Schizosaccharomyces pombe: one gene and its partners. The gene in region 2 interacts genetically with the main gene of each other region. Each region holds a gene or a part of one and is shown on either strand. Other genes may lie near its edges.

What was found.
Region 1: mutations in svf1 (region 2) and gcn20 together harm fitness more than expected from each alone (negative genetic interaction), as found in Schizosaccharomyces pombe (one large-scale study listed by BioGRID).
Region 3: mutations in svf1 (region 2) and gma12 together harm fitness more than expected from each alone (negative genetic interaction), as found in Schizosaccharomyces pombe (one large-scale study listed by BioGRID).
Region 4: mutations in svf1 (region 2) and iwr1 together harm fitness less than expected from each alone (positive genetic interaction), as found in Schizosaccharomyces pombe (one large-scale study listed by BioGRID).

What each region holds. Positions count from the first base shown.
Region 1 is NC_003423.3:2,053,584-2,058,355, forward strand, and holds gcn20 (AAA family ATPase Gcn20), read right to left. Parts: upstream 2,860-4,772; 5' UTR 2,842-2,859; coding exon 631-2,841; 3' UTR 558-630; downstream 1-557. Other genes in the region: atp14 (F1-ATPase subunit H), read right to left, coding at 3,515-3,538, 3,585-3,775, 3,828-3,863, 3,912-3,957, 4,005-4,019; ort1 (carboxylic acid transporter), read right to left, coding at 4,680-4,772.
Region 2 is NC_003421.2:1,510,544-1,515,115, forward strand, and holds svf1 (ER to Golgi ceramide transport protein, lipocalin superfamily Svf1), read right to left. Parts: upstream 2,779-4,572; 5' UTR 2,654-2,778; coding exon 2,631-2,653; exon of another isoform or gene 2,398-2,630; intron 2,160-2,397; coding exon 1,040-2,159; 3' UTR 501-1,039; downstream 1-500. Other genes in the region: protein mug42, read left to right, coding at 4,252-4,572. UniProt on the Schizosaccharomyces pombe protein: Ceramide-binding protein that may transfer ceramides from the endoplasmic reticulum membrane to the cis-Golgi network membrane, and is thereby required for the biosynthesis of complex sphingolipids.
Region 3 is NC_003421.2:315,268-319,582, forward strand, and holds gma12 (Golgi alpha-1,2-galactosyltransferase Gma12), read right to left. Parts: upstream 2,586-4,315; coding exon 1,458-2,585; 3' UTR 560-1,457; downstream 1-559. Other genes in the region: msf1 (phenylalanyl-tRNA synthetase), read right to left, coding at 1-386. UniProt on the Schizosaccharomyces pombe protein: Involved in the O- and N-linked oligosaccharide modification of proteins transported through the Golgi stack. This occurs in cis Golgi where the enzyme transfers galactose from UDP-galactose to a variety of mannose based acceptors.
Region 4 is NC_003424.3:1,592,788-1,596,215, forward strand, and holds iwr1 (RNA polymerase II nuclear import protein Iwr1), read right to left. Parts: upstream 1,753-3,428; 5' UTR 1,668-1,752; coding exon 1,607-1,667; intron 1,554-1,606; coding exon 1,485-1,553; intron 1,396-1,484; coding exon 1,083-1,395; intron 994-1,082; coding exon 603-993; 3' UTR 515-602; downstream 1-514. Other genes in the region: peptidase family curved DNA-binding protein Cdb4, read right to left, coding at 1-296; signal recognition particle receptor beta subunit Srp102, read left to right, coding at 2,408-2,575, 2,624-3,139. UniProt on the Schizosaccharomyces pombe protein: Directs RNA polymerase II nuclear import.

The DNA of each region.
Region 1 (4,772 bases), on a different chromosome or scaffold from region 2:
GGACGTTCTTCTTCTAACGCTACTAATACTTCTACAAAGCGTCCTTTAACCTCTAATACCTATCCGTCCATTCCTCTTCCTCCAAAGTCTTTCACCTCTCAGAATTTTAAATCGTTCAACGCCGTCAAAACTCAACCTTCATCTTCCTCCTCTCCATCAATCTCTCGCCCTACGTCTTTTCCCATGTCCTTTTTTCCAAATCCTTCGAGGTTTTCTAGTCAAGTTCCTAAACGAATTTAATGAGTTAACTTTTTCCTTTCTCTTTCTTTTTTTGTTTACTAGTCTGTATATTCTTTTTTTTTCTGCTATTGATTTCCTTGGTCCGCCTTATTTTCTCCTCTTCTCCCCTTCCTCCTCTTTACTTTTTAATTGATTGGGTTTGTTCTCTTTATTTTTTGGGTGTTGGTTGATGATTTGCATGCTTTCCAGGTTTCTTGTCCATTACCGTGTTATGACTTACTTAGCTATAATTAATTTACTGTTTTAATCTTATTTAACACTTCATGTCTTTTACTGTATAAAATGTAGTTAACTTCGTTTACATATTTTATCCAGATTCATAGATAAAAGAATTTGATTTTATTTATCCTCGCCAGCTATATTATTATTATTTAAGTCTATGCTATTCCATTAAGTTTTTATAGTCATGGTTGGCTGTTGAGATAGACAGAATTTCTTATATTGTGAAATTGTTCCATCAAACTTGGAGACGACATTATGGTCACACTGCCAAATACTGGTACATGTCTTGTCCAAGAAATCAACATCGTGAGAAACAAGAATCACACCACCTTGGAAGCGTTTAACAGCTCTTGTCAAGGCATCCATGGACTCCATATCCAGATGGTTGGTGGGTTCATCTAGAATAAGAATGTGAGGGTTTTGTAGACCTAGGCATGCGAACGCAACACGAGATTTCTGACCACCAGAAAGCGTGATCATTTTTTGCAATGCAAGAGGTCCACTAACACCAAAAGCGCCAAGATGACGACGGTATTCTTCTTCACCTTTGCCAGGAAATGTCTTAGCTAAAAAGCTTAAGGCATTCAAGTTTAAGTCCAAAGTATCGACATGATGTTGTGCAAAGTATGCAATACGAAGTCGGGGGTGCCGACTAACTATACCAGATGTTGGATGAAGTTGTTCGATAAGAAGCTTAAGCATTGTTGATTTACCAGCACCGTTGGGACCAACCACACCGATACGAGAATCCATTTGAACATCAATATCAACATGTTTGAGAATAGGGTGACCTGGAACATACTCAAAATTGACATCAGACATTTGTAAGATAGGAGGAGATATTTTTTCCACAGGTGGAAATTCAAACTCAACTTCTTCCTCAGTTTGAGGCTTTTCAAGGATCGGCAGTTTTTCCAACTTCTTAATACGACTTTGTGCTTCGGATGATTTGGCAGCATTATAACGAAATTTGTCAATGAATGATTGCAAATGTTTGCGGTATTCCATTTGCTTTTCATATTCACGAAGTTGATTTTTGCAACGTTCTTCACGAGTAGCATAGAATTGACTAAAATTACCCTTATAGTAATCCAAGCGCTCAGAGTGTTGATGAATAATATCAGTAGCAACTTCATTCAAGAAAGAACGATCGTGTGAAACGACTAAAACGATATTTTTATAAGTTTGTAAATATTCAGATAAGAAAGCAATTGAGGGAACGTCAAGCATGTTCGAAGGTTCATCCAAAAGTAGTAAATCTGGTTGACAAAACAGAGCACGTGCCAATGACAAACGCATACGCCAACCACCTGAAAAAGTCTTGGTAGCATGGCTTTGCATTTCTTGAGTAAATCCAAGACCAGCTAAAATAGTAGCAGCGCGTGATTCTGCTCTATCAGAGTCCATCTCGGAAAGCTTATTTTGAATATCTAACAACCGTAAATCAAGTTCGTCTCGTTCACGCTCAAGGCGACGGGAAATAGCTTGATCAGCAGTTTGGTCTTTACTAAGTTCTTCCAATTCTTTTTCAATCGTTGATAGACGATTAGTTATCTTTTCCTGGTCCTGAATCAAATACTTGCGCCAAACATCGGCATCCAAAACTGACTGTAGGGCAGGTGTATCATCACCTGTCATTTCTTGCTCAACATGAAGAATGGTAATATGGGTAGGAATCGCAATTTCACGGCGAGAAAGAGCACGTAGAAGAGTAGATTTACCGATACCGTTGCGACCAGTTAAACCGTATCGTCTACCCTGTGCAAGTGTCAACGAAGCACCAGTCAATATACGATGACCAGCAAAAGCAAGATCAATTCCATCAATTTTAATATCTTTCGATTTTCCTTGGTTACTTCCGGATAAATCTAGAGGATTTACAGCCATGTAAAACTCTTCATAAGACTTTTGTTCGGGTTGAACCAACTTTGAAGATTCGTATTCTGCTTTGATAGTACGTTTCTCCCATTTGGCACGAATCTTCCGTTCAGCCTTCTCTAATTTTCTTCTATCTACCCTAGATTCAACCTTACGGCCCTTTACAGCATCTAATTCCATCTTTTCGCCAACCAAACCCATAGTTGACGAAATTTCGGATTGGGAATCCATTCGAATAGTCTCCTTCAAACGAACAAGTCCATTCGTTTGTAATGTATCTAGATGTTCCTCTCTTTCTTTAAATTGTTTCTCTAGTTCGTTTTGTATGAGCTGTACCGCTTCCTCACGAGCGCCAGCATCTAGCAATAAATTACGAATGAGAGAGATCGTATGGTCTGAAGCCTCATCTACATCTTTAATAGCATCATTAGCATATCCAGTGCAGTAGCTGAGGACATGAGGGTCTACTTCAGAGCAATTATTCTGAATGACTTGCTCCATGTTGGATGTGAGGTGGATAGTACTAAGCAAGTTATACTACTGCTATATATGAAGCCTCAATCGGCAAAACGATGAGACTAGGCATGAAAATATACTAAATACCTTATAATAGTGAATTATATATTTTTTTAAGAAAAAAAATTACAATTCCAAGAAAACTACTGTGAACTTTACTGATATTTTTAATGACCCACAGTAGACATCAAATTTTATCAAGCTAATCCTTATTGTTGAATAAAAGCAATTGTATTGAGTTGATATAAATTGAAAAAAAAAATCCAAATGTGAACTCAATAGAAATACTTTGCAAAGAGAAAAACATCTCAACTCAATGAAAGTGGTTTTCTATCAATCAAGGCAACAACTGTTTCGTGCCGTAATCGAAGAGACGACTAAGCATTGAATTCAGCTATGTTCAAAGACATTTAGAAAGCAGAAAAAGGATACGTTAACCTAGAATATAAATCATAGTGAGACGGGAGTTATAGAGATACATCCACGTTCGTGGTCAATCAAAAGAAGGATCAGACAAAGGCATGAAATAGATATAAAATCAAATCTCAACGACGTAGATGAAAATGTAAATTCATAATCGGAAAATAAAAGGCAAAATTTAATCAAAGTTAATTACCAAACATCTTCCAATTGAGCATAGGAAAAGCAGTGAATAAATTTAATGTTCTTTTTCATTCTCATACTGAAGGAAAAGTTAGCTGATGCAATGTAAAGGAAGAGATACATACTGATTCAAGAAAGTCAAATTTGTTGCTTTCTCCAGCAGCCTTAGTGGGAATGGTTTCTCCCTCATACTTGTAAGAGTTTAAAGCAGAAGTAAAGTCAACATCGTATTTTGGAGCAGTAGGAGCGCTAGGCATGGACCATTCCTTTACTTCAGCTGCCGTTTCGGAAGGGACAGCTTTAGGCTTATATGATTCTAAGACACGACGTGTAAGAAATTGGTAAATTAAGAGAATATAATAACATACTTAAAGAAGAAATATATAAACCCTGTACTACATCGACTAAATTGCCATTAGTAATCTCATCAAAATCAAAATGTCATTTCATACCGTAAAGACGAGGGGAGGTGGTCGAATAACTACGACTTAGTGATTTCTATATATTAGCTCCTAAATTCTTAAAAAAAGCAATGTATAACGTACCAAAATTCGAGACATTGTTCTTCCTTCACAATATATGTGGATGGTAGTGGTAACTCACTTAGGTAGCATGTATTGAGTAAGAAAGCCAGCATTGTCCGAAAGTACATTAAACATACTAAATCTAATAGCTAAAGTTTTAAATGCCCAAATAAACAATCGCTGAAATAGAAGGACTATTAGTCTCAAAAATTTCATCCAATTTACACCTCTACCAAAAATCTACAAAACAAAATTCAACTATACAAGAAAAAAAAGCGTAGGTACATACAGATATTGAAAGAGTTGGATTAACCAAAACAGGACGTAAAAAGCAAAACAAAACAAAAAAAAACAGGGAAAAGAGGAAAAGAAAATATACTTTCAGATTGAAACGGTTAACTCGTGAAATGTATAACAAGTTCAGTGGAATTACTGTCAAACTAACAGCAGCACATGATATGAAAAGTGATGAGAGGGGAGTTTTTGAAGGTAAAAATGCTTTTAATAAAAAATAAATAGCATCAAAAAAATTGTAAAAGTATTCCATGGGACTTTAAATATATACGACAAAACCAGTTCTAAAATGTGATTAAACTTCAACCGCAAGTCGAATGCAAGTTAAAATATGTATAGAAATGCATTCCGACGGGTTATCGACTCAATGGACAACAAAGACTTCGTAAAACTAGAATAAAACTATTTGCTTAATACTTTAGTTTCCCGAAATAATTCAAAAAGCGTAAAATTGCAAGAATTTATAAGAGCGCTTCGCATCAATGAAATACCTAT
Region 2 (4,572 bases):
GAAAAGTAGGTGGTAGTTTTTTACAACATAAGTTACGCACTTTAATAAAAAATGATTAAACGCCTATGCTTTATTTTAAAATGTTTAAAAAAAAAAAAAAAAAAAAAAGGAAAATTGCATATACATATTATTATTAAATCAATATTATTGAATGAAGAAAGGACTGTACGACTTGCTTGTAAATCCGTGAAATTCAGTTACGTTGAATTACTGGTTTCCAATGCTTTATGCTAGAATGATTCGGTTTTTTAAGAATTATTTACATAATATTTTAATAATAAATACATACATATATATCTGTTTACGCGTTCACTGCCTGCTCTTATCGGAACATAGGAAAACTTATTAAAAAAATATTAGAAAACATTAAACATACAATACTTTTTTATTATAAAGTGGTAAAAGCGAAATTATCAATAATAGAAAAACTGCTTTCGTAGAAAACCAATACAACATTTACAATGAATTAGTTTTTTAAATAAAATAGAAGTTGAGAAGTTGCTAATTAGTATCCACTTAATGATGAAAACAATATTATTTGAAGTCTCTAAAATGAAAAGTATTCAAATTTTTAAAAAATTTTAAAACATTCTCGCTCGTTTACACAGACTGCAGTCTTTCAATAAACATAAGCGAATGCACAATTTTGCCAGATGCCTTGCCCATGTCCATCAGTATAGGTATTAGGATGACAAGATCGATTTAGTACACAAACAAGAGAACGAATGAATTTCAGAGCTTGTAGCACAAGACCATTAACAAGAATCATATTCAATATGAGAGCAGCACAACTATCAAGTTCAGAGTATAAGTGATAAGTCTATATGAAGTTATTTTAATAAAACGAAAAATAGTATGAAAAAAAAATTCGAAGACACGAAATTAAAAACAACAGGACAAAAAAAAGGAAAAAAAGAATACAAAACCAGAGAGTTTAATATAGAAAAGCTCTGAAAAAAAGATGGATGCACGTTCACTCTTTGTTTAAGCCCAAAATGCATCGAATTATTTATGCTTGAATATTTTTGTTAAAAGATGCTTATGAAATAAAAGTAGTCTCATTAAAAAGCGTGGCTTCATCTTCAATAACCTCGTCACCCATCTTCAGTGTAAATTTGACAGGTGAGAAATATTGGTAGATGAAAGGTTTCGTTCCAGAGACTCCATGGACGAAACCCTTAAGCCAAGATGGTATCTCGGCAAGAACGTCGATGCGTTGAAGACGTCTTCCCAAAGGAGCATCGACTGAAAGATGAATATCTTCGGTGTATGTTTCAGCATCCTTTCCGTCCCATTCGTAGGAAATGCGAGTGGGTTCATGCCATTCCGTATCGGGATCGAGTGTGGTCTCAACGTGCTCAATAGTATTATCGACAGTTGCACTAATAATTTTGTCTTTCATAGCGATACCACCAATATTGACAATAGTAGAACCATAGCTAGGGGGTGTCTTGAACTGCATCATGATGGCGGTAAACTTTTTATGCTGCAAGAGGGCAAACTCCCAAGATGAAGCAAGATGGTGGGGTTTGCCATTTTGGAGTGCATGAACAAACATGCCGGGACCAGTGACATCCACAACTCTACCCCTTGCAACGATGCTACCTTCAACACGAGTGCGAGGCCAAAAGGTATGCTTCATGGAAGCCCAGGGCTTACTAGGATCTGTTCCATAAGTAGAATTTCCATCTTCACCGATTTTAAAAGGAGGAGCGTCTTGATGGACAGTTATATCGATGATGGAGTCCATGTTGATGGAGGCACGAATTCGGTAACGCTTTTGGTCTTCCAACACGACAGAGCAATTTTTGGCGACAAAGGAGGTTTTGTCATTTTCAAAGCTAAATTGATCCATGTTGGTAGAAGTCCACAAATCGTTTTCAGGATGCTTCAAATCGAAAATGCGACACGTAGATTGAGCGGTGGTTGTCCAAGAACCCAAGTTGGAATGTATCAATTGAACAAAGCACATATAGTCACCCTCATTTGGCTTGATATAAAAGACTTGCGTTTCCACATGGCTGGAAGAGGGAGTGCTCCATTTGAAGTCGTCGGCTTCAAGCCTATGGAAAGGATTAATGCCCTGAACGGATGCAGTGACGGGTTGGATAGCCTCAGGACCATAAACGGGTTCCGCTGTGCCAGTATAGTAGGATATGCTAAAATCGAGTTAGAAATAATAAAAAACAGTAAAAACAAGTTATTAGAATAGACAACTGAATGTTTTGTAAGACAACACGAAAAAAATGGATTCAAATAGCAGATGTCTGATAGATGAAAAAAACGGAAAAGAAAAAAGAATTTTGTTTTTTGCTCATCGAATTTAAAAAAAAATTTTTAAGACAAAAAAAATAATCGAAAACATGAAGGAAATGTCAGTGAATACATATCGATATCCAATTATTAGTCGATTATATTACCGTTTTTATTCATAGGACAAACACTCGATCCGTTTTTAGGGGTCCATATTTTTACAACCTCTAATCAAGCCAAAGAGTACCAAAAATTGAACATACACATTGTAAATCACTGTATAAATCCATTCTTTTGCGTTTGAATTACAAATCCTCGCTGAAACGAAGAAAAAAGCACTCGGCAGCGATCGAATCCAAATGTCCAGTTGTACTTACCTAGATTGTAGCCAGGCCTTCATGATTAATTAAAATGAAAAATGAGAAAATGAAAAAGCTAGGAACACACAAAGCAAAAGATAGGCGACCAGCAAACGGAGAGAGGACACGTTAATGGCCTAAAAAATAGGACAAAGAAAATGTTGGTAAAGGATAACTAAGATGAGCTGGGAAAACAAAAGCACTTAGTGCAATTCGTTACGGAACCGAAGCAGCCAAAAAAATGGAATGATGATTGTTTAGTGATTGACGTAATGCAAAACGCTATAATACTTTTATGAGATACAACGTATAAGAAGGTGGTTTTAGCATTGTCTTGGGTTCCTCATCATTCCGTATGCTCCCGTTGTCGTAGTGGAACATAATTTCTGTTAAACATTATTACGCATAGAAAAATTAAATACCTTATTAAATAATTGTGTACTATTTCATAGGTTTTGTTGTATGAGAATAAAGCTTTCGGTGGTTGAAGATCGATAATGATCTAATAACGAAAATTTTTAAAGTGTAGAACATACATGTTAAAGCATATAGCGGAATACTTTATTTTATTTACAGAGCGGACAAATGTTAATTTCGGAAAACTGCCTAGATAGTAGCAGGCCGACGCTAGACATATACCGGGGAACTATGGAAAATCACAATTAAACATTGTTCCACCTTACGTATACAGAAGAAAGTTCGAAGAATTTATGTAAGTTTCACTTTGTTTAAGTAATGATTTGTAAAAAACATCAAGCTTTCCGTTTTCCAACGACGTTTGGTATCGGCGTGTGACATAGCGAGAGTGTAAACAGAGATGGATAAACGAGTAATTATCTGCGCAGAAAAGCACGATTCTCTTGTTTATTAGTGCTGAAGAGACCCACATTCTGTGGATCTACACATTCAATATCAGACCCTTAGCCTGAATGAATCCAGGTATGGCACTGTCTTAACGAATTAGCTCCCATTCATCCTACACGCTTCCGTTGGGCTGGAAATTGCCTCGTAGGGTGCAGACGCCCATGAAAATTTACCTGCCGTACACGAAATATTGAAGTTGACCATGGTGATGTTGCCCGAGACGAAAATTGATGTTTTATTTACATCGGCACGAGATTAGATAGCTGGCAAAGAAGATGCGGCTGTTTTATCTAAGTCAAATAATATAACTATATACACGTATAAAGTGATACACGATATAAATATAATAATATAGAAGAAAACTATGTTAACGTAGTACTTAATTGTAATTAGTAAATCGCAACGTTTCATTTATTGTTTACAAGCAAAAGACCAAGTGATTTCCATGGAAATAGCACATCGAGAGAAAAACCAATAAAAGTATTTTGCAAATAAAATAAAAAATGATGAAGTATTTATGTTATAGCTTTTCAGAGAAGAGAAGAAAAGAGAATGAACTGCTAAGTAGGATATAGCAAACAACACGAGTATTTTTACCATCTCATTTCCATACAAAAATACCATGTCAATGTCGATAAAACGAGAGCTGTAAACTCTTTTATTTCATCATCTCTAAACACTGGCATTCTTCCACTTTATTTCCTTCTTTCGCTTTGCCTTTTCCAATGCTAAGGTACATGTTACCTAAACAGTTGTTTACATAGTATACTTTTGGATGGGTATTTTAATAGGTACTTTTCCACCACGAAGAAGACCAACTCTCCATGAAACGGAAAATCATGTAAAGAAAAAGAATTGGAGATGCGGTAAAGGTATTAAATGTTTTTTCAAACCTAGTGATCAAGTTTATTTAGTTGGCCAAGTTGATTGTCGGTTTTTACTCCACCACAATGCGAAAAACAAACAATTTCCCCTAATATTTGTTACTAATTTTATAACCAGCTTGCCCAATTTTCAGTTTCCTCTGTTCTTTTTCGTGTCTTTGCTGCATTTGTATAGGCGACCACGAAATCAGATATCGACGCGTAAATATACT
Region 3 (4,315 bases), 1.2 Mb from region 2:
CCTTCTTTGGCCAAGCGAGAGAACTCTTCAGGTTGATGAGCCGAGGTATGGGTTCGAAGACAAGTTTTATTGTTCATATAGTAAGTATCGGATTTGCTTCTACTTACATGTGTCTTGGGAAATCCTAAAGAATCAAAATTCGTCTCTACAGAAACAATAGGTGATTCTTTTTGAACATTATTCATTTCGAATTTTTGAAATTGCTGTTCGAGAAGTTGTCGTAGACTGCATATGGGATGACCTTCTTTTTGAAAAAGGTTTCGACCAATTTTTGAGTGAATATGCTCTGGGACATTGGACCAAGAATCTGTTTGGACTTTTCTTTTCCAATTGGGAAACCTTCTCGAAAATAGTTTCGATAAATGAGAGACTCGATGAGGGAACATTGATTTCTTAAATAACACACTTCACTTTTTGTAATCAAACAATGATAATTTAAATTAGAACAACGAAGCTAACTATTTTTAAAATTAATATATAATAATAATTTAATAGAATTCAATCAATCGGTCTTAATTGCGTCCCATTTGAAAGTAAAAAAATGATAGTACCCAAATATAGGGGTTGTGCCGTTCTTGGATACAATGAACAAAGGAGTAAAATTCGAATCGTTTAATTTTCAAGCAGTGGTTTATAGATTTGGTCAGTTTACAAATATTTCATTCATTGTTTTTGCATAAAAAAAATATATGCTTTAATTTCAAAAGCCATTATCACTCAAATGGATTTCATTACGACGAATTGCAAATTTTATTTCCATAAGACTCCTGACATAACTTTATTTAGAAAGATAGAGCATCATACTGTACATAAAGTTGCCAACTTCAAAAGAAGTGCAGAAAAATTATCAAGGACTTTCTTGTAATCGGTCATATTAGATCAAGTATTTAATAGCTTCACTGTCCTATAAGCCGTACAATCGTAATGTAGGCTACAAAAAACTCAACATTTCAAATAACATTTCAAATCATCCCGATTTTAAAGAAAGCAGCATTCTGCGTATGAAAATTCATTCAAACCCCTAACAAGTTTGTCATCTACTAACATTTTACTCCAAGAAAGGCTGGGGTTTAAAAATTAAATAAAACGGTTTGAAGCGTAACAGCAAAACTCGAACTTTGTACTTAAAGTACGATACAAAACTTGACTTTAGAAAAGGAAATAGATTAGACAACACTAAAATCCTCCAACACGAAATTAGAAGGTCCTGAACGTAATGATACTAAGCTCATGAAATCATGAAAAGGGAGAAACTATTAAGGTGTTCACTAAGGAGGGGAGGATAATTAAATGACTTGATTAGTAATGAAAGAAGGAGTTTGCTTATCCCCGATAATAAAAAATTGAGAAAACTACCAACATACTGGACAGACGTTGTTCTTGAGTAAAATGACAAATATCATGAAATTAAACCAGTCTAAAGTACAAGGTATTTTTCCATGCGTGACTGAAAAAAACTAGGATGATGGTTTCAAAAGATTTTGAATATGATCCTTTTCTTGAGCAGACATCCAATCGGATCCTTGTTTAGAAGATAAAATTTGAGCATACTTAAGGAACTTCTCGGGACAATTCTTAAAATAGTTACATCCAGCAAAATGGATACACAAGTCCCCGTCGTCATAGCCCCAAATATTATCATCAAAATCATATGCGTTTATAGCCTTAAGTGGGACAACACCTACATGTTTATACACCTGGGGATGGTAAAATACCATGTGAGAAAACGCTTGTTGCTCAGCATATCCCTGAATATGATCCAAATATAAGGGTTCAAACCACAAATCAACAATCCAGCGGCCAACTTCGCTATTACGAATAAAAAGACTGCCAGCGTTAATACCATTAAAATCTTGAGAGATGATGAAATGAACATCCTTAGCATCCTGATCCTTTGGAGTTCTAAATCCATCGGCGGGGATACCTGCACCACTCTTATATTCAGCCTCCCTAGTTAAAATGGTATTCAATCGGTCGTGCTTAAGCACATGGTCGACGACGTTAAGATCTTTGTTCATGACCAACGCGTCATGATCAAGCCACCAAATCCATTCAGCGTCAGGATATTTCTTCATCGTATCTTGAAGCATAGGGACCTTAACCCAGGGCATTAAATGACCTGTAACACGAGAAGCATAGGCATCGGCATCTAAGAATTCGAATTTGTAACCATGGCGTTCAGCATATTCACGACGATTTTTGATAATGGACTGAGCGAAAGGATGGAGAGGAGAGTTAGCATCATTTTGAAAGTTAGAGCCCATCAAAATGACGATTTTAGAGTTATCCGGATGAGGATCAGTGGTAGCTAAAGCATGAACTACAGAAGTGACAGTTGGAGTAGCAGTGAAAGTTTCGGTTAAAGTGGCAGTAACACTAACAACTTCACTAATGGTAACACGTAAAGTATCAGTTTGGGTACTGGTTACGGAGGAAACGACTGGGGTCCAAGTACTCGTGTGTTGGTCGATGATCTCCTTCATCTTCGTTTGAAGCTTGGTATCCATAGCTGAAGTCCACCAAGCTCCACCCAGGATTATGGTTGTAATTACAACAGCACTAATTAAATAAGGAGCGAACCGCATTGTCAAATAATCAAGAGTAAACTAATAATATAGAAGAGACAAAATAAAATAAAATGATAAAGGAACGGAGAATTTCCTTAGAAATGCAAAATTAAGCAGTGAACGAAAGATAAAATTAGAGAAAGGATGGTGATGAGTGATATATGAGAGCTTTTAAAAAGTAGAAACAGGAAGGGTAAAAGAACCGACAGTAGGAATATTAGACGAAAATCAAAGAAGATTCTGTGCAATAAAAGAGATTGTATCCAAGAGAATGTAGAAAACCTAGATACGTGTGGTGAATTAAAAAGAAAAAAAACCCCCCCAAGTGAAAATATTCTCTCAACTAAGAAATCTGTTACAATAAGTAATGGTAAGAAAATCCCTGTAGAGAACCTATATGAAAAGGTTCAATTTGTAAATAAATAGTAACCTAACGAACGAAGGCAAAATATAGCAAAGTTTAGAAAGAAAAAGAAGCGAAAGAAGGAAGTAAACACCAGTTTGAAGTATATAACTAGTCCAAACCAATGAAATGAATACTTTAATACTACTTGGCAATGTAGGTGTTAAAAATCACTTGAATCTAATTAAATCCACGATAAAGATTACAATTCAGTACTTGTCAACGCAAAACTAAAAAGAAAGCAAAAATCAAAAACTCAAGAAAAAGTATTGAAATTTAAAAATGCCTCTGGAAACCAAAAAAAAGTGAGATTACCAAAAGCGAAATGAACAAAGCCCGTATAAACGAATAAATTAGCTCAGTAAAAAATCCTTTAAAACCAGTTTTTCGTCAAGGTCTTACAATTAGAATGTTAACAAACACAAAACCAATTGCCTTAAGCAAAAAAAAATTGGTGGTAAGTTAAGGCCAGGTTTAAATCGGGGGGGAATGCTAATATGTTTCTGGAGTGATGGATTAATTGTCTCCTTGTTACCTGCCAAACGTGTTACCTGTTATTGAAAATAAAAAAAGGGAGCTTGCTAAACAATTGTATTTATAGAAGTCAGTGACTTGTGCATCGATGCAATCCCGAATTTCCAAAGAAAATTAGTTTCTACATTCTTTGGTAAAATTCTGCAGTAAATTCTTGACGCTTTGGTGCGGTGATGTTAGTGTAAACAAAGAAAAAGTCAAATGGCTGGTAAAGCCAATATTACAAAACAACATGGCAAGTGCTAGAAATAAAAGTAGTTTAAAGAGATATAATAGTATCATTCAGGTTTTAAAAGACATCGAAATAATTTTTTTTTAGTACTGCCGCTTAATGGGAAAAAATTCTATTCCAAACATGAAAGACAATAAAACTTCTAAAAAAGATGAAAAGAGCAATAAATAAAAATAAAACAATAATAAATCTAAGTAAAGCATAATTCGTATTTATTTAAATATTTTTGTTTCGATTGAAAATTACTGATCCAACTAATTTAACCCTAGAGAGCAAACTAGTAATGACTGAGCAAGATTCATTGCTTTGTTTCTATTACCATACTGTATATTATCGGCTTCTTTATATTATTAATTACCTTATAGCAAGTTCCTCCAATTATTTAGTCCCATCCCATACCATACCGATTGTTTAGGAATTTCCAATCGATCGTTTCGCTAACTTAACTGCATGTAACTTCATTCAAATTCAAAGCCAACAAACCTTTTTCGATGTTTAATGGAACATAGGATCTTTTACCATAAAACTCAATGTTTTCCCCTTTAGTTACACTGCTTTACTTCTTTATTTTTGTAAACG
Region 4 (3,428 bases), on a different chromosome or scaffold from region 2:
GGATCACTTTTTAAAGGAGATAAATGAGCAGCCATATCATTAGGAGATACAGCGGTAGGGAAAGCAATACCTTTATAAGCATCCTTGGTACGATATACTTTCTTGATAGCTTCGTTCAATAGTTCATCACCACGAACGCAAATATCGTATATTTTGGCTCCAGGTTGGCATAATTCTACCACTTTTTTAATAACATTTTGAGAAACTTCGCCTGCAATTTTATATTTATTGACGGTTTCAGGATTACTCAAAGAATAATCGACAGCAGTCTCTGAAGTTGCTTCTTTAGTCGACATATTGTCTATGATGTAGCTAAATCTGGCTACAAATTCAAGAACTTGGTGCTAGGATTTTGCAAGTCACAAAATTGTGGACTCCAAACTCATGAATAACATGGCTCATATTGAATCCTATGATATAACTAAATAGTAATGCTATTAAAATTTACACATATTACCCAGACACAATATAATGTATGAGTTTTTAAAAAATACAATAGAACAATTTACTAAATTCCTGATATAAATTTCTCCAAATAATATCATTCACCTATTAAACTGTAACCGATTTCCATTTTGTTCGTTTTTTTAAGTAGCAAACATCTAATCATAAAAGTCTTGCTCAGCATCATCGGAGTAAGCAAATTCATCATTTTCACTGCTATCTTGCCATTCGTCTTCATCGGGATAGCTATTTTGATAGAAGCTTTCAGCGTTTGAATCCTCATCAATTTCATCATGTAATGGATCATCTTTATCAGAGTCCACTGTCTCGGAGACTAGTTCCTGTTCTAATGAAGAACGAAAAGCGTCTGGGATGGACAAAGCATCAATTACACCATAAGCAAACGTTGGCTTGTTTGGTTCTTTGCTAGATGCTTCATAAATATCGTATACGTAGTCTTCCGTAGATTGCTGAAGAGGAAGGTCTCCATTTGACAAATATTCTTGAATCATAGAATCTAGCTGAGGATGCGGATGATACGTAGTATGTCTATGAATGTTAGTTAAGGTAAAAAAAGCCAAGAGCCAGTTCTTATAACAACAGAACTAAGTAATTGACTCTATTTGATGTTGACATACCCTTGTTCGACACGGATAGCGTCGAACACTCTATTACTTTGAGTAGAAGGTAAATTCTGAATTGTATAGCGTGGGGATGAGAAAGAAAGAATACCTTTTGTATTTTCACGGGATCCCAAGTCCATGTGCGTAGGTGCTTTCACAACGTCTTCAGAAGTTTGGACGACAGGGATTCCGTAATTGTTCTTTTTTAGAGATGATATTTTTGTATGACTGTGGATATTTCGAACGTCTTCATGAGTGGGTTCCGAAGATTCATCATTTATCTGAATATACCGATCATCTTGCTTCAGCGTTTGTGATAGTTTAAAATCTAGAAACTGTCAATAAAAGGTAATTGTGTTTTTCAAATGATTAGTCCTTGTGTAATATTCCAACACAAAAGCTCAAGAAGTAGCATACAATATCGTCCGGCGAATTTCCTTCTTTTCGTACTTGAAACAGAATTTGGATTGTTTCCAAGTTCCAAATCTAAATTATTAAGGAGTTAGATAAAGAAAGTTTACTTAGAAGCTTGGTCGTACATAGGGCGTTAACAGGATCTTCTGAAGCTTTACGCTTAACTCGAAGTACTGGAAGAGGCATCTTCGTATCACAATTTAATAACGAGAGTTAGACGACTCTTTAAAAAAGGAATTAATATAACCAGCAAAATCTACGGTTGGGGGATGGCAAGTCTGCAATGTAAAAAAGGTAGATATAAAAGTAGCTCTTCGACTGAAAGACAGCAACTTCAGTATAACTTGGATTGAAGTAGTATTACAACAACGCAATCTTATCTTTCAAAATGTAAAATATTCTATAGTTTTATTATTTTAAAATAAAAAATCGTGAAGTTCATTATTTATATCATTGTCATCACTTAACAAAAAGAACTTTTCTATAATAAATAATGTTGAGCAAACAATGAAGCAAAAATATTCAATAAGTCTAATTACACAAATTCACAACTTAAAGATGCCCCACAACAATTAATTCCACTCAAAAGAACCGATGATATAAATGTATACTTTGACGATTAACAAAGATTGGTCTAATCAAGCAATTATCTCATGTAATACATTCAGGAAAAATGTATTTTGTATTGTTTTAATTAAATTCAAAAGAGGGTACAGTCAATCTCTACTGCTGCAATCTGTACGAGAATTGTCTTTTTTAAACAAAACTTCGAGAACTAGTTTGGATGCTTTTTTTTTTTTTTTTTTTTTTCACATTTATTTCTCTCTTCTGAAAAATATATCTTAATCAACGATCGTATGAAAATGAGGTCTTTGTAACATTTGACATATATCTTCTACACACCCAACTGGTACCAACAACAGCATATGGATGGAACTTCTCAAGCTTTTAAAATTATTGTAGCTACAATAATTATAGGAGCTATTATATCTACCCTAGGAATTTTTTTTACTAGAAAGACAATTCAAAAGAAGTTACCAGCAGTGTTTTTAATTGGACCTAGCGATTCTGGAAAAACGTCTTTGTTTTGTGAGGTATAACAATAATATACAATCTTTGAATACTTATTAACTGTTATATAGCTAATTTATAAAGAAAAGAAAACTACAGTTCCTAGCATTGAACCTAATGAAGCTGTGTGGAAATATGGTGCTTGGTTAGTAGATCTTCCAGGGCATCCCAGGGCCAAACGTTGGATTACTACTAAATTCTCTGGAAATTATAATGTAAAAGCTGTAGTTTTCGTTCTCAACAGTGCTACAATTGACAGGGATGTGCACGAGGTTGGATTGATGTTGTTTGACACAATTTTAAAATGTCGCAAGCATCATGTCCCTCATCTATTAATTGCCTGTAATAAATTTGATCTTTTTACTGCTCAACCTGCGGAAAAAATTCAACAATTGTTAAAAGCTGAACTGCACAATATTTTGGAAGAGAAAAATCTTCAACTCGAATCTATAGTCTCTGAAGATGTCGATTGGGAATCAGTTGCAGATCAGATTGAAGATACTGATCTTAAATTCCTTCCTGGCAGCGTTGCAAAAATGTCGAACATTGAAGAATGGATTTCATGGATGGAATCAGCTTTACAATAAAGATGCATTAATTATTCACAATTGATAATTTACAAGTAACCAACCAAAAAAGATATATTTTTGCATGTCTAGAATAAGCTATCGTTTTATTTCAAAAATTCGTAATCTTGTGTGAATACTGTAAAATACTTAAAAAAATTAACAGGGTTGTTGACAAACTGATTCGTAAAGTACTTGTACTTAGGGACAGCTTGGGTAAAAAAAAACAAGAGAAACATTAATATTAGTATAAGAATATCAAGAAAAGAACAATCCAAGGTTGTATCAAAGCCTCACATACGCAATGAAA